Linked DNA regions of Caenorhabditis elegans. The protein of the gene in region 3 purifies or fractionates together with the protein of the main gene of each other region. This does not show direct contact. Each region holds a gene or a part of one and is shown on either strand. Other genes may lie near its edges.

Region 1 (5,166 bases), on a different chromosome or scaffold from region 3:
TTTTTAAAATTAAATATAGCAATAAAACACTTAAATTTTAACAAAACTCGAGAGAAACTTCGCAGGAAAGTTTGAAATTACAGTAATTTTTAAAGGCACATGCTCACTTCTCTCAAACTGACTTTGATCGTTGCAGAACCCATGCAAGGGTAGAAGATGTGCGCCTTTACAGTTGGCACATTTTGGAATTAAATTTTCGCAAAAAAAAACCGGATTAAACCGAATCTCCAGAAAAATCGAGAAAACTAACGGAAGAGAAAAAAAGGAAAAACAAAAATAATCGAAATGTTCAAACCGAAGAACGATAATTGTGGTTTCCTTTCATCTTCTTCGTCTTCTTCAGCCCAATTCCCTCCCGCGCATTCCGCCTCATTCGGCTTTTCTGCTGCGTCTCCACGATTCGTGTGATATTTCCCACCGGAATCAGGACGAACATGTCTGCGTGCTACTCGTTTCTCGTACTATTTCGCCGGGGGTCGACAAAAGTCATTTTCAGTCGAAATTTTAGTTCAAGATTAGGAATCTCGATAAATTTCATTCGACAGAAAAAAAAACACATTAAAAATCAGTTTAAGCATGAATTAGTACGTTGAAGGAGAAAGAAAAAGAGAGGGGCTATAGAAATCTGAAAAAAAAGTTGTAGTATTCCTAATACACATTTCGGATATGCTGAAGGGACTGGAATTTCTGGGGCTCACACAACCGAACTTTATCGGGGGGAAATGTTGATGAGAATAATAATTTACTAGAAAAAAATCACAAAAAGAAGCGCAGTTTCCTAGGAAAGAAAGTGTTTAGAGAGGGAGAAAAGAAAAATAAAATCACAGGTCAAATTATGCATTTTTTAGGTGGAAAACTAGTTTTTCAGAGTCCAAGGAGGTCGTCAAGTCCAGACGAAGACGAATTGACTGTAACCGGTGGCGGTGCCGAGGCGAACATATCGAAAAGATCATTGTTGGCGGCAGTGTTGGATTGTGCCGGCATCGGTGACGCTCTATTAGAGGAAATTGGTGCCGCTTGGTGATGAATTGCACTTTGTCCGTAGTTTGTCTTCATTACCTGGAAAAAAAAATTATAATAGGTTAATTTTTTTTTTCAAGAAATATCGAATCAGGTTCGACTTTTTTTAGTTTAATGATCGAAATTTTTTTCAAAACTTTACTTTTTTTTTCAAAAAATTGCATCAAATTGCTGGTTTTTTTCCAAAAAAAATTGTGAAATTATTCAATAAAAAATGTGAATTCTTTTCGGTACAAAAACCTAGGAAATTTGAAACAAAAATCCAAATTAATTGTGCTTTTGGATGTTTTTTCCGGAACTTTCTAGTTAATAATTCATGCAAAAATTGGTAAAAAATGATATGATTTTTTCTTGATTATACTCGTTTATTTTTCAACGAAAATCAGACAATTTTTTCTGAAAAATAAGGTATTTTGCTTGAAAAAAAAGCATAAAGCGAGAGTTATCGAAAAACGGGTATTTTGTTTGGAAAAAAATTTTAATTTTGAATTTTTTGCTAAATTTCTAGTTTTTTTCTTCAATATATCTAGAATTTTAACGCTCAAAAGTGCCAAAATTGTACCTTTCCAAGTGCCAAATCAGCGAAAGCATTCGATTTATTCGGAATATTGAATCCTTGTGATCCAGTTGGTGAAGTAGGCGTTGGTTTAGACTGCATACTCATTCCACCGAATCCACTGGAAGACATTGCTCCAAATTGAGCAGCTCCAAAGTATTGTGGTGGAGCCATTGGTGGGATTTGAGACATTTGAGCCGATGGTGGTGGTGCTCCAAAATTGATACCCGACAGTCCTCCAAACATATCATTTTGTTGTGGAGCTGGAGCTGGAGCCCCGAATTGGTGGAACGAAGAAGCTTGTTGCGGGATTTGAGCCGGAGCAGCTTGCAGTCCAAATCCGGCAAATCCTCCGGGAGCAACTACATTCGGAGCCGATATGCCACCAGATGGGCCGAAAAGCGAAAGAATATCTGCGTTGGTTTTCTTTTGATCACTTCCATTTGTCGCTGGAGCCGTTGAGGAGAGAGCGGTGAGATCTGAAAAGGAAAAATCATTTAAAAAAATTATTTACAAAAGTGAAAAACAAATGAATTTTGGTTCCCGCTTGTTCGATTTTCCAAGGTCCCGAAAAATGACTTTTTTTTTGGATAAAAATTAGGAATTGAAATTTGGTTCAATTTTCATACATTTTTCCTCAATTTTTTGATTATCTTTTTTTGCGACAAAGACCAGGTGAAAATTCAATACCATCGAGGCCAGAAGAAGCTGAAGGCGCTGCAGCTGCTGTCGTTGGAGCCGATGAGAAATCGGCGAATCCTCCTCCAAGAGATTGAGCATTCTGTTGAGCATTTTGTGAGTTCGCCGAGACAAATGATCCGAAATCGTCGAAATCATCGTTGAGAGCAGCTGGAGCTGCTGCCGGAGCCGCTGGTCCTAGACTTAATCCATCAAAGTCGTCGAATAAGTTGACGGCCTTCTTAGCAGGAGTTGTGCTGGCTGGAGGATCAGAAAAATCTAGAAGCGATGGAGCAGCAGCAGCAGCTGAAGCCGTCGAATGTCCATTGCTAGAGCTACTTCCACGTGATGCAATGTTCACAACGGGCGTTCCGACCTTCTTCTGTGCCTGAGACAATGATTTCGGCAGCTGGCTCGCGTCAACTCTTGGATACACGAAATCTCGCAGAATATACCGTTTCTGTTCATACTTGCTCCGAATGAATTGTTCCATTTGCTGATCATTGGTGGGCCGCCGAAATTGCGCTGGTAGATCATGTTCGTAGACTTGTCGGGCCTTCTCGTTGCCCATCACCCGCATCGTCTGCACTTGTTCGGGCGTCCACGAGTCCAGATTCACTGAGCGCACTTTTGAGATGTGAACGCCGAGGTTACGGTGGATGCCGGCGCATCGGATGCAGATGAAGACGCCGAGGTTCCAGGCAGCCCATCTGAAATAAATATTGATTTTTTGTTGTTATTTCTGCAATTTTTGCAATCCTGGCACGGTTTTTGGGGTAAATTTTGAAATTTGTGGATTTATCGGAATAATTCCTTGGACCAATAAATCCGCGAAGGTTTTGCATTGACAAAAAAAGTCTAAAAACTGTAACCAAGCGGAAAAATAATTTTTGACTTTTTTCAGTTTTCGAAAGAATTATTCCGGCAAACCTGTAAATTTACTGCAATAACGATTTTAAGCCGAAATATACTATATTAAATTCGCGAATTTCCAGATTTTCGTCTCAAATTCTCACCTTGGCGTTTTCGCCTGACAATCGGCACAATACTTGTTCTCCTCTTCCTTGAGCATGTCCAACAGGAAGCCTTGCAGTCTTTCCTGCTCTTCCTTCTTCGGATCCACTTTACCTCGCAGCATTTGTGCTTCTGAAACTGAAAAACCTTGAACTCGATGGAAATGAAAATGCGGAAACGTGATGTTGAAAATGATAAGAGAGAAAAGGGCAACTCAATCAATATTCGACGACGATGACGCGTGGGAAATTGGGAAATGCACAAAAGAGGAGATAATATGAAAAAATGATAAATTCTGAGCTTCCTCGAGTTCCACTGAAATTTGAGAAGAACGTGTGTGTGAGGCCAGTAACCCGAATAATCAATGAAGTCGGCTCCAGCTTCACGGAGCCGGTGTCAGGCTCTCGCGCAAATGAGGGCGTGTGTGAGGACAGAGGCGAGAGACGGAGAGACGCAGACACTCTTTGTCTGTGAATACGCCGAATTTGACGCAAAGTGGGAATTATTGGAGAATTATAATGACGTGGCCATGGCATTTTATTAGAAGTACAGGATTTTCAAGCTACGAAAATTCACGAATTAATCAAGGAAAATATACATTTTGGAGCAAAAAAACCAAAAAAGATTTATTGACAGTTATGCACAAATGATTCAAGTAAAGTACAGAGAGAGAGAGAGAGAGAGAGAGAGAGAGAGATTATTATTATTATTTCGTCCAGGAAACTTTTGGAATGTCGTTGAATTCTGTCATCTCGCCGAGCTGCTTGTTCAACTTCTCCACCTTTTCACGATGACTCAACGCCGCCTGTTTCAGCATTCTTTCCGCCTGAAATTATGTGAATTTTAAGTATTAAAAAAAAAAGCGCCTACCATGTTCGCCTGTCTTCTAGCCTCGAACCGAAGCTCAGCCTCGGTTTTGTGTGGCCCACCGCCGGAAGTGTTTCTGGAATCTCTGGGACCGTTAGCTGTCTGGTTTCGGATTACACATACCTTCTGATCGTCATGTCAACTTGCTTCAAGTCCATAGCTGGCTTACTCTTTTTAGTCTTCTTTGGCGCTTCTGTCGATACTTTTTTCAACTTGAGAGATCCTTTGACGACTGTGTCTTTCATTGTTCTGAATATGAAAATTGTGAACCAGTGTCTACCTTCTATCGAGCTTTTGCAAGATATTTTAATGATTGAAACATAATGAGAACACTGGAAAAAAGTTTAAATTAATCATCGTTCATTCGAGTCATAAAAATATTGGGAGTGGGCGAAAGAAAAGATCATTGTACAGGAAATTACGAAACGGGGCAGGATAATTTAGTGATTGATACACAGATTATTGCTCAGACTCGTATGTCTCCCCTTCTCCGGCGAACTCGTCGAGTGGCTCGTCTTCGGCGGTAGCTTCCTGGTATTGTTGGTACTCCGAGATCAAGTCGTTCATGTTGCTTTCAGCCTCGGTGAACTCCATCTCGTCCATACCCTCACCAGTGTACCAATGAAGGAAGGCCTTTCTGCGGAACATGGCGGTGAATTGCTCCGAGATACGCTTGAAGAGCTCCTGGATAGCAGTGGAGTTTCCGACGAAGGTGGCAGCCATCTTGAGTCCACGTGGTGGGATGTCGCACACAGCAGTCTTGACGTTGTTTGGAATCCATTCAACGAAGTACGAGGAGTTCTTGTTCTGGACACTGAGCATCTGCTCGTCAACCTCCTGAAAAACAAAGCATATAGTGAAAAGTTACAAGCAATCGATGAACTTACTCTCATGGACATGCGTCCACGGAACATAGCAGCAACGGTGAGGTATCTTCCGTGTCTTGGATCGCAAGCAGCCATCATGTTCTTGGCGTCGAACATTTGTTGAGTAAGCTCGGCGACAGTCAATGCACGGTAAGCCTGAGCTCC
Region 2 (3,561 bases), on a different chromosome or scaffold from region 3:
ATGTATTATCCAGTTTTCTAGAGTTTTGTATATACTCATTTATTTCTTACTCACACTTGAGCCTAGATATAATCTTTTAAAACTCAATTTAAAAAAAAACCAAAATTCGGGTTTATTAAAAGCCTCACAACTGGATACTCACTCTGCACAAGTATTATTTTTTAATAAAATGAAGTGCAATCTATTTTAGTACTGGCTTTCACCAGCTACTTGGGCTTCCCGTCGCGAGAAGGAGCTCAACCTCTCGTCATCTCTCAGCCGTGGAAACTACTCTTACTCTAGCCGATTTGACAGGTACTGAGGTTTTAGTTTTTGGTAAATTAATTATTCTTAATTCAGACTTGGAGGACGCGTTTATTAAATTTTCTAAAACCTTCTGATCCATTTCATCGACTTCAACATTTTTCCATCGCGATTCAACATTCACGATATGTTCTTTCTACACGACTTCTTGACGCCGTTTTCGCATTTTGTTTGGTGTTTAACAAAGTGCGATGAGCAGCTCGGTTCAGTTATTCTTTTTTTTCTTGTTTTATACTTTAATTGATATTCCAATAAAATCAAAATAATTACATTCATTCAGTAAATTAAACATCACCGTTGTATATAAACATGCGGGGAGACGGACAAAGCGAGGACGGGAATCATTGGATTGAAGAGTCGAAAAGCCACGAACTTTTGAAAAATACAAGCTCATAAGCTTTAAGCGGATAAATTAAAACTTTACAACGGTCCATTTTTGGATGGAAGTGGTGGAGCTTCTTGGTAAGCATTGTAGGCTGGTGGCTGAGCGCTAGATTGTTGTTGAATATTGTTATAATCTGGAAGAGTAGAAGGATGAGGAGCAGCTCCTTGTCCGACGTTGAATCCTCCCTGCGGTGGTTGATTAGTTGGATAAGGATGGTATTGTCCTGGCTGTTGAGGTTGTCCAGGGTACGCCCCAACATTCTGGTACTGGACGGTTCCGACTGGCTGGAATTGTCCGGCAGGATACGGCGTGGTTTGTCCGATTCCTGGGTATGGTGGAGGCATGTCGTAAACGTAGACGTTTTGTGCTGGAAAACAATTTGTTTCGAAGAAATTACTACGTCATAAATCTTACCAGGTGGGCGCTCAGGAAAAACGTTCGTCGGAGCTTGGAATCCTTGGTATGTCCCTTGCACCAAGTAGTATGTCGGTGGAGCAGCATAGTACGTAGTGCCTGATTGCTGTTGCATATTTCCACCATATGCTGGTGGAGCAGCAAATGGACGAGCTCTAGATGCTGAAACAGAACCAAAACATTGATGGGAACTATTCAAGACAATCGTACCCATGTCAGCAGCGCGAAGAAGTGCCTCTCCAAACTCGATGCATCCTCCTTTCGGGAAAGACAAACGCCATTCCGGACATCCATCAAAGTTGCCTCCAGGCATTGGTTGAACCCATCCCTGAAAAATTAAAAATGTGACTGCAAGTCATTTAAGATTGAAAAAAAAACCTTGAGATAGTTTGGGGTGAGAAGTGGCTGTTCAAGTTTCACATCTCGCACTGAATTGAATGGCATCGCGAAGGATTTGAACTCATCTTTCTTGCTCTCGTTCATGAAAATTATCTGAAAAAATAAAGTTGAAATATTTGAAATTTAGGATCAAACGTTTTGGTTTTCAGCTAAAATGAAAAAAAAAACCTATCCAGAAATGAAAATTTGCAACTCAAAAACTTTAAAACTCACTCTGTGTGAAGTGAGATAGAGGGCTCCCGACTTGGTGGACTTGAACGCAGGAACATTGTACTTCTCGAACTTCAGCTTTACATTTGTTGTGTAGAGAAGAATCCTGAAATTATAAAAACTTATTTCATAATTTGAAAAGAATCAGTTTTGAGAAAGAATTTAAAAAACTTACATTTCTCCATTATAAATCAAAATGCCTTGGCCATCGGGTGTGTGCGACGTGTTGAGCGACATGGTGCTGCTGAAGAACAAAAAAAAATCAAAAATACTGCTTTTTAAGGAGGAAAATGGAATTAATGAGCAGATCGGGAATTGCGAAATACACGAAATCGACGAAAAACGGCATGGAATGGCGTGATGGCAACGTTTTCATACGGCGAGGGTAGCCAACACTGACTCACGACCCCGAGACCCGCAATGGAGCGCGTTTTCCATTGCCTTGTTTTCTGCGTCTCTCACAAGTCATGGCTCTCTAGTGAGTGGTGAGTGGCGAAAGACAAATAGTGTTTGCCATTAGATAGAGAGGGGAGTATCGATGCCATTAATCATGAATATGAAGGTTTATTATTATAAGGGCAGAATTGCCGGGAAATAAAGGTAATTAGGCAACGAGCTACTTTTGGAAAATTTTGAGTCGATTTTGGTCGTGTATTTAAACATTTCTGGAAAAAAAACAAGTAGTTGTATTAATTTGTTGAACAATTTGTGGTGAAAGTTAAAATAAATAAATAAGAGAACATTTATTATGTTAATTTGAAAGACTCTTAAAAATTTGGTGAATTCATTTGAAACTTTTCTGGTTTTTAAAGTAGATGTACTCCAAAGTATTCAAATGTTTCTTTTTTGTTTCTGTATAGTTCAACACATTATTATCCGGCCTAAGCTCCAAAAAGTTCGAATGTTATGTTCACAATTTTAATTCACTTTAAAATGAGTATCATCATTTGCTTTGAATTTTAAGGAACTTTTGAAAGTGATAGTATCTATCAATCTAGGCTTTCTCTGTACACTTTGAAAATTAAAATTTCCTGAAATTCGTTTTATACACTAGGTAATCATATTTGTAAAACTTGACACTTGTAATAGCGTTCCTCTTAACTGATATGTCGAAATTTCTAGAATTTCCTATAATATTATTTGTATTTTTGATTTAAATATCAATGAACAATATTATTCTGCCAAAAATTATATTAGTTCCTTAGCGAAAAGAAATGAAGCTGAAAAACAAAAAAAACGATTGATAGGGAATGTTTATCGAGTCGCGTTGGATAAAAATGTTAAGTCGAACAATAAATACAAAATGAGTGGATCGGAGATTAAATTGAAACCATTGAATCAGAAAACACAAATAATAATACTAATAATAATAAATTGTTTTTTAATACAACACTTTATCAGCAAACACTGGAGCTTGTTCGACTTTTTGTCCCTTGTTGTGTCGGAGGATGGCAACTAGTGGGTGGACAGTTTCTTGCAAATCCTGAAGTGAAAGATTTAATAAGGTAGTTTCAGAAGCATAGATAATAAGCTGACCTATCAAAACCGCAAAAATTAATATCATCTCTCACATTCGAACATTATTAATACAATTTTGAAAAGTGAGTTAATATGAGTTAAAAACTTGATATGAAAAAAGCTTAGAACTAAACCGAAAACAAAAATATATAAATATGTTTAAAAAAATTATTTAAATGTTCATAAGCACATTTGAAAAATTTTATGTCATAATTACTATAAAAACCGGAATAGTTTTCATGGAAAGTTTTCTATTTTGAATATTTGAAAGCCTTCCCATACATATGAAATAAATTAAAATTATGCTGAAGTTGGAGTTCAAAATATGTTAA
Region 3 (4,623 bases):
ATTCCGCCCCAGAAAATCAACGGTGACTAATATGTTAGAATCTTTGAATGATTGGACTAAAAGTATTGATCTCGGTGAGCAAATCGATATCATATACCTAGACTTTTCCAAGGCTTTCGACCGGCTCCCACATGACTTACTTTTAGATAAACTCGTATCTTTAAGAATGAACAAAAATTTACTGATATGGTTGAATGAATTTCTGTCAAATAGAAGCTTTAGGGTTAGAATTGGGCAAACGCTGTCATCCAGAAAATTGGCCACCTGTGGCGTCCCACAAGGCGCAGTTCTGTCACCACTTTTGTTTGGTATCTATGTTAATGATATATCATCAATATTACCCGAAAAAGTAGCATGTAAGCAGTTTGCAGATGACACGAAATCGTATGTATCGACCCCTAAGACTGAAAGCGAAAACAATTTACAGTCTGCTCTAGATGCTGTAGTAGATTGGACAAGGGGATCAAAACTCACTCTAAACCAATCTAAGACAGTTCACGTCACAGTAGGAAAACGTAGAATAGATTTCAAATACCACCTAGACGGTTACCCTATTGAGCGAAAAGCTATTACCCGAGACCTTGGATTTTTAATCTCTGAAAAGCTGGATTTCTCTGAGCATTGGAGGAAATGTATCAATCTAGCTAAATTTCAACTGGCCAACATGTTCAACCAGTACAGTACCTCCAATAAGAAACTAATGATTCTCTTATACAAAACTTTCATATGCCCTCGTTTAGAATATGGAACAGTAGTGTCTTCTCCGACAAAAAAATCGGATGAGAAAGCAATAGAGTCTGTACAAAACGCATTCACTAGGCGCCTTTATAGTAGAATCAAAAAAAGATATATTAATCCAACTGATAAAGATTACAAAACTGCCATGGAACGTAACGAACTATTCGACCTCCAAACCTTAAGCACGAGACGTAAAATAATTGACAGAATCCAAATAATCAGAATGAATACTGGTAAAGTAGACTTAAAAACATATGAGTTTTTTGAGCAACAAGAGACCCACACTCGTTCTAAAAAGAAATATATCTGGAGCACAGGAAAATCTAAACTTAGGAGACACTTTTTTGTTAACAGAACACTACCCACAATGAAGCAACACTGATCTAATGTTACCTTATCCTCACTTCTATCCATCATTTATTCTTGCCATTTATACATCGATATTTCTGTTTTTTGCTTCTTCTCCAATGTAGCCATCATTTTCTTCTCATCTCTTTTTATTTTTGTTTCGTTTTATTTGTGTAATTTATTTATGTAACCACTTGTGATGGTTTGTATCTATTAATGTGTGTTTTTTTTTTCTACCTCACGATATTTTACTATCGTAATAAATTAAATTAAATTAAATTAAATTTTGGGTATACAATTTAATGCGTTCTCAACTCGATTTAGGTATTTTAAAGTCGATGGACGGCGAGATTCGGTAGAAAAAATTTAAAAATCTGTCTGAGACCCCACCAAAACAGGAAAACAGGATGCAGTGGGCGGAGCAAATTCGCAACTACCCCGCACACTTTTTTCGCAAGCCTCGCACGTTTTTTCCATGATATTGTTGCATTTTTTTTTCAAAAGAAAAAACTTTTTTTCAAGAAGTTTCATTTTGAAATTCGATGTCTTCAGACAATTTTGAGTCTAATAAAGCAATTTTTTAAAAAAATCGACTACTTTTTTTGGTACTTGTGTATTACATGCCATACTCATTTTAATAGTAATTTTTTAAGCCATGAAAAACAAAAACGTGAACCACACTTTTGTATTTTTAGGCTTAGGAAATAACATTTTCTAAGCCTAAAGAGGAAAAATGTATATCACGTTTATTTTAATTGGAGAAATTAATGACAATTTAATTCAATTTAAAAATGAGGGCATGTAATACACAACACTGCAACATTTTCCTCACGAGGGACGAGGAAAAGTGGTTTCTAGGCCATGGCCGAGGGGCCGACAAGTTTCAGCGGCCATTTATCTTGCTTTGTTTTCCGCCTGTTTTCTTTCGTTTTTCCCCGATTTTTTTCGTTTTTTCTTAATAAAACTGATAAATAAATATTTTTTGCAGATGCTAAAACAATTTCCAAGTAAAAAAATTATGTATTCTTTTTTCATAACGAGACCGCTGAAAAAGTTTTGAGGTTTTCAAAATTCGACATTTTGTGCGAAAACCTCGACTTTTTCACTAAAAAATTTGAATTTTGAAAACCTCAAAACTTTTTCAGCGGTCTCGTTATGAAAATCAGGTAGTTTCAACATCTAAGCGGTATATTTATCATGTTTGGAAAAAAGTTTAGGTTTGGTATTCCCGTAATCCATCATATTGCATTGACCACTTTCACCGCTGCTTGCCCACTGAATACATAATTTTTTTACTTGGAAATTGTTTTAGCATCTGCAAAAAATATTTATTTATCAGTTTTATTAAGAAAAAACGGGGGAAAGATCGGTGTAAAACGAAAGAAAACAGGCGGAAAACAAAGCAAGATAAATGGCCGCTGAAACTTGTCGGCCCCTCGGCCATGGCCTAGAAACCACTTTTCCTCGTCCCTCGTGAGGAAAAAGTTGCAGTGCACAAGTACCCTTTTTTTTTGAAAATTGACTTCAAAAACTGCTCCCTAAGTTGGTCCAAACGAAAAAAAAAGTGTTTTTTTTTCAATTTTTTGATTTTTCAAGTTCCTGCGTTTGTTTCCGTTTTTTGAGCAGACATTTTGTAATTTTACAGGCAAAAATTTTTTTTCCTGATTTTTCAGTCGAAAATCATATTGTTTCATTCAAAAATTTCCTCCAATTAATTAATTATTAATTACCGGATGCTCTTTCCAAGAGGAGTACATCTTTGATATTTCTCTTCGTCAAATGATAAGCTACAGAGCTTCCAGCTACACCGGAACCGAGAACACATGCGAATACGTGTTTTGTCGATGAAGAATTTCGAATCGATGTGTGCAGGTCTGACGACGTGCGAATCAGTGAACGAGACGCGTGAAGCATCTGTAAATTGAAATAAATTGTACTTGAAAAAAAATTATTTGATGAAAAAAATGTTACGAAACAATGAAAATGTATATATATGGCAGGGGTGGGCGGAAATTGCCGTTCAGCATTTGTCGACAAATTCGACAAATTGCCGGTTTGCCGGAAATTTTCATTCTTGGCAAATTGTCAATTTGCCGACTTGCCGGAAATGTTCAATTCCGGCAATTTTCCGGTTTGCTGATTTGCCGGAAATTTTCATTTTCGGTAATTTGCCGAATATCAGATTTGCCGGAAATTTTCTTTTTTGGCAAATTGTCAATTTGCCGATTTTCCGGAAATTTTTAATTCCGGCAATTTTCCGGTTTGCCGATTTGCCGGAAATTTTCATTTTTGGCAAATTGTCAATTTGCCGATTTTCCGGAAATTTTTAATTCCGGCAATTTTCCGGTTTGCCGATTTGCCGGATATCATTTTTTTGAATGTTTAGAGGGATTTTTTATAAAACGGAAACGCTTAAAACTGTGTCTTTTTGAATATTTTCCGTTTTTTCTACATATTTTTATAGAAATTACTTAATTTCGGCAAATTCAGCAAATTTGCCGGAAATTTTTAATTCCGGCAATTTGCCGATTTGCCGGAAAAAATCGTTTGCCGCCCACCCCTGATATTTGGAAAAAATGGGAAAAAGGAAAAATTATATACATGTTTTGAAAAAAATTTAAAAAATACCTGAATTTAGTAAATTTCCTGGAAGTTTTCTTTATTTTATTATTTTTCGAATTTTATACCTAGAAAATGTAAATGTTATTACGGGAGCACAAAATTCTGAGAATTTTTTGAAATATATTATACACAAATTTAATTTCAAGTTTTTGCTCTAATATATTACGGGAACACAAAATTCTGAAAATGCGTATTACACAACATATTTTACGCGCAAAATTATTATTATCTCGTAGCGAAAACTTATGACTACTGTAGCGCCCTTGTGTCGATTTACGTGATCTCGCGATTGTTGAATATATTTTATTTTCGAATTTTGACAGCGATGTATTCAATTTTTCTTCGTTTTTTCGTATTGTTTTGTCACTTTTTTGCTTTTTATTCAATATTTTAACCATAAATAATAGTAAATTATTTTATTGAAAATACGTTTTTCAATTAAAATAATTTACCATTAGTTATAAATAAAATATTGAATAAAAAGCAAAAAAGCGACAAAACAATACGAAAAAAAACCAAGAAAAATTGAATATATCGCTGTCAAAATTCGAAAAGAAAATATTTTCAACAATCGCGAGATCCCGTAAATCGACACAAGGTCGCTACAGTAGTCATAAGTTTTCGCTACGAGATATTAATAATTTTGCGCGTAAGATGTGTTGTGTAATACGCATTCTCAGAGATTTTGTGTTCACGTAATATATTAGAGCAAAACCTTGAAATTAAAATTTTGAATAATATAATATTTCAAAAAGTTGTTGGTTGTTTGCAATTTTTTTAAAATTTTTTTCATTTCAAAGGGGGCTATTTTCAAATAAATAAAACACATTTCCCAAAACCCAGAAGAAATTCAAATTTTTCCAGCAAAAAAATAAATAAATATCCAAGGGCCCCCAACAAGGACAGGAATACACA
Region 4 (3,826 bases), about 13 Mb from region 3:
TATTGCCGGGTTTCACCTGGAAAACCTGCAATAGACGGGAAATAATGTAAAAATACGTTTGTAAATAGGAGTTTCCTCATCAAAATGAAGGCAATATTACACGTTTTTTTCTATTAAAACAGTTGGTTAATGAATAAAATTTTTTTAAGTACAAAAATGACTAAACAATACGAACAACGAAGGAAAATTGAATATCACTGTCCAAATTCGAAAATAAAATCGAGCCCGTAAATCGGCATAAGCGCTACTTTTAAAGAAATACTGTAATTTTCGCTGCGAGATATTTTGCGAGTCAAATATGTTGTAAAATACGCATTCTCAGGATTTAGTGTTCCCGTAATATCAAATCTATAATATCACGTGAAATAAGGGAATCAGTAGAAAAACCATCTGGCCAAATTTCACTACAATCTAAAATTCATTAAATCTTCAGATGTCTCCGGCACAAAAACGACTGGGGAGCAATGCTAATGATCGATGAACGCCTAGAACGTCAAACTGGAAATCTTGTGGGCGGAGCCTCGTCTGCTCGTGTCTCAAAATGGATTCGTGCTCAACTGAAAAGCTATCCGAGTTTTAAAGAATTTAATGCGAATTTTCGCGAATTCATCCAGCGTCGACACGCTGTTGAGAAAGCAAAAAAAGAGAATTTTTGTGAATGAATTAAACTTTTTCTAACTTTTTTTTTTCGATTAAAACCCCCGCCCCTTATCTTTTTTACGTGTAAAATTTATGATTTTTCCTCATTTTCTTAAACAATTTTTAGACGTCTTTTTTAAAAGTTAGAATCTCCCTAATGCATTGTTTTTACCCCTTTTTTCAAATCGATTTTCATAAAGCTTGGCCGAACTTTTTCTCTCTTCTCTCATTATCACTTATCAGTGTTTACCTTTACACCACTTGTACTTTGAACTGTGAAATGCTGACAACATTATAGCGTTCTCAGTAGCCTACGAGAATTTTTCTAAAACTTGCCTGGAACCAGTTTGAACGCAAAATTTTTCCCTTTCGAGTGTTCAAAATTAATTTTCAAATTTTCATTTTGTTCGAAAAAGGTTTTGGCGTATGACTCTTTCCGAATATCTTTGTGAAATTAAAAAAAAACTTCTCGGATTTAATATTTCAGCTTGAAATCTCGCACCCAAAACTTAACGCGCCAGAGGCAGTCTCATTGGGGCGCACCGTGCTGTGTCGATTTACGGGATTTTTCACCATCTGTCATGTTTTTTCAAAAACTTTTTTTTTGGTTATTATTTGGAAAATTGTTTTTTCCGTGTCAATTGAACATTTTATTATATCCAAATCACAACTCGATGAAAATCCGAATTTTCGAAAAAAAAAACGATAAATTTAAGGCTTTTTTAGTTTAAAAAATTTAAAGATATTCGGAATTAGGGGGTTGGAATAATTCAGTGAATGCGTCTTTGAGTATGAGTTTTTTGAAAAATTACCTATGTACTTGGAAAAAGGCCATCGAAATTAATAATATATTTTTGTTTCAATATTTATAATTTATTTAAAATTGTCTAATTTTTGCAGCCTCTGAAGAAAAAAAATGTTCAAACGAGTATTCAATCTCCGTTTTATTTCGAATTTCTCTCGCCGCCCGACATCTTCTCCAAAACTTCCGAAATTAATTGCAATCACTGGTGGAACCTCGCTTGGAATCGCATTTTTTGGAAAAACTGAAGAGAACAAGAATTTGGACTCAGGAAATGGACAATTAATTGATGGAAAACCGAAAAATTTCGATTTAATTGTTCGAAATTCGGATGAACTTTATGATAATTATCTAATCGATAATTGTTATAATATTTTGAAAAAGTGAATTTTCAATTAACTTTTAGAAATGTCCATTTTAACTTTTCTTTCCAATTTTTAAGATTTGAAAATTCCAATTGCTCCGAGCTTCTATGGCGTCTGGCACGTGTGGTTTGTGAGAAAGGAAAACTCTCAAAAGATCAAAATCAACGAAAAGAGCTCATTTTGGAAGCCTATGGAATTGTGAAAAAAGCTCTTGACAATGAGCCAAAGAATGGATGCTTTGGAGCACATAAATGGTACGATTTGGAGTTAAAACGCTATTTATTCCGGGTAGAACAACACAATTTTGCGAGAAAAAAAAACTATGACTGAGGGTGGAAATCGAAAACTGAGCACCTGCCTTTTTTGGCGGCTGAGTTTTAGCATTTTCTATGCCACATGGCTATCTTTAGGTATGCCATTCTACTGGATTACGTTGGAGAGATCGAGGGAAACAAATCGAGAATCGAAAAATCATTCCAAGTGCGGAAACATTTAGAGAAGGCGTTATCGATTTTCGAGAACGATCCAACAACGTGGCATATTTTGGGTAAGGGATTCCGGATTGAACAGAGAAAAAAAAAGAAAAATCATGTTAGAATTTATTCACGTGGAGTCAGACGGTCCCTTTTCGCTTTGATCTACGAAACATGCGGGAGGTGAGACGTAGACATCTCAACTGATTTCGCATGGTTAACAGTGTGCTTACGTCACAAATTTTCTGGGAAAAAATTCCCGCATTTTTTGTAGATCAAACCGCAATGAGACTTTCTGACACCCCGTGTTTATTCCGAATTAAAGCTCTACAGCTCACCGTTCAATCAACGGGGGCGGGCGGTGCTTAACCATTATTTTTTTTAGATATTTCTGCATTTCGCTTCGAGAATTAAAAAGAAAACCTCAAATTTCAGGAGTCTGGCACTTTTCCTTCGCCAATATGGGTTACGCGACTCGAATGGTGGCCAAAGCTATTTTCGCAACTCCACCAGCATCCACATATCAGGAGGCTCTACACTATTTCCTAAAGGCTGAACAGATTTCGGTAAAAAAATATCAGAATTCAAACACTTTTAGTGAATCTCTCATAGTCAATCAAAAACATACAAAAATGAAAAGTTGTCGACCAAATTTTTTTACACTTTGAACATTTTCCTCCACTTGGGAAGTAAATAGTGCCACGAAAAATTCAGATCATTATAGTTAAATTCAAATTTTCAGCCCGGATTCTACAGTACGAATACCTACTACATTGGCGAAGTGTACGAACAACTAGGACAAAAAGCCGAAGCACTTGATGCATTCAAACAATCATTCAAAATGCCAGTTGTGACTTCTGATGACGCGGTTATTCATAAGAAAGCATACGAGAAACTGAAGAAATATGGAGTCAAGGATACTGAAGTTGTTTAGATTGTGAAAAATATGTATTTGTAAGATGATTGTTGTAATTTTTAACAGAATAAAAATATTTATTTGAATTTAATAATTGTCTAATGTCAGCTAAATAATATTGTCGGAAATGAGGCACCACGGTTTCAAGATCTGGTGAAATTCCGGATCTACGTTTTCCGGAAATACGATTTCCGGATCTACGTTTTCCGAATCTAGCACCGTGCCAACCCACAAAACGCTTTTTTATTCACTCGACGCACGTTGTTTTTTGAAAATTTCTTCTAGAAGAAACGCTTAACAACACGCGACGCTTAACAACGGAGCATCGTTGTCACGTTTTTCTCCGAGAAAAATAGCGTTTTAAGAGTTGGCCAGATCCGGAAAACGTAGATCCGGAAATGGTAGATCCGGAAAACGGAGATCCGGAATTTTACCAGATCTTGATACCGTGGTGCGAGGCACCACGTTTTCAAGATCTGTTCAAAAACAAGATCTACGAAAACAAGATCCACCAAAACAAGATCTACGTTTTCAGGATCTGGCACCGTGCCAACTGCGGTTTTCTCGAAGAAAACGAAACAACGATGCTCCGATGTTACGTTCGCGTGTTGTTTAGCGTTCAAACGAATAT

The links.
Region 1: the proteins of Y37E3.17 (region 3) and smap-1 fractionate together in Caenorhabditis elegans (co-fractionation; one large-scale study listed by BioGRID). This does not show direct contact.
Region 2: the proteins of Y37E3.17 (region 3) and C18B2.4 fractionate together in Caenorhabditis elegans (co-fractionation; one large-scale study listed by BioGRID). This does not show direct contact.
Region 4: the proteins of Y37E3.17 (region 3) and F33H2.6 fractionate together in Caenorhabditis elegans (co-fractionation; one large-scale study listed by BioGRID). This does not show direct contact.

Annotation. Positions count from the first base shown.
Region 1 is NC_003281.10:10,736,387-10,741,552, forward strand, and holds smap-1 (Arf-GAP domain-containing protein), read right to left. Parts: upstream 3,407-5,166; 5' UTR 3,393-3,406; coding exon 3,271-3,392; intron 2,965-3,270; coding exon 2,267-2,964; intron 2,056-2,266; coding exon 1,583-2,055; intron 1,060-1,582; coding exon 865-1,059; 3' UTR 507-864; downstream 1-506. Other genes in the region: tass-1 (Protein FAM32A), read right to left, coding at 3,975-4,094, 4,139-4,220, 4,259-4,380; tbb-1 (Tubulin beta chain), read right to left, coding at 4,595-4,972, 5,023-5,166.
Region 2 is NC_003284.9:3,603,787-3,607,347, forward strand, and holds C18B2.4 (GRAM domain-containing protein), read right to left. Parts: upstream 1,956-3,561; 5' UTR 1,949-1,955; coding exon 1,887-1,948; intron 1,818-1,886; coding exon 1,715-1,817; intron 1,595-1,714; coding exon 1,481-1,594; intron 1,431-1,480; coding exon 1,313-1,430; intron 1,265-1,312; coding exon 1,103-1,264; intron 1,056-1,102; coding exon 724-1,055; 3' UTR 505-723; downstream 1-504. Other genes in the region: C18B2.3 (uncharacterized protein), read left to right, coding at 191-294, 340-361; C18B2.5 (G domain-containing protein), read right to left, coding at 3,093-3,194.
Region 3 is NC_003279.8:2,126,967-2,131,589, reverse strand, and holds the start of Y37E3.17 (Dimethylglycine dehydrogenase, mitochondrial), read right to left. Parts: upstream 3,001-4,623; coding exon 2,817-3,000; intron 1-2,816.
Region 4 is NC_003279.8:15,014,309-15,018,134, reverse strand, and holds F33H2.6 (Regulator of microtubule dynamics protein 1), read left to right. Parts: upstream 1-1,539; 5' UTR 1,540-1,555; coding exon 1,556-1,824; intron 1,825-1,883; coding exon 1,884-2,060; intron 2,061-2,216; coding exon 2,217-2,353; intron 2,354-2,714; coding exon 2,715-2,845; intron 2,846-3,021; coding exon 3,022-3,213; 3' UTR 3,214-3,281; downstream 3,282-3,826. Other genes in the region: dog-1 (Helicase ATP-binding domain-containing protein), read left to right, coding at 434-662.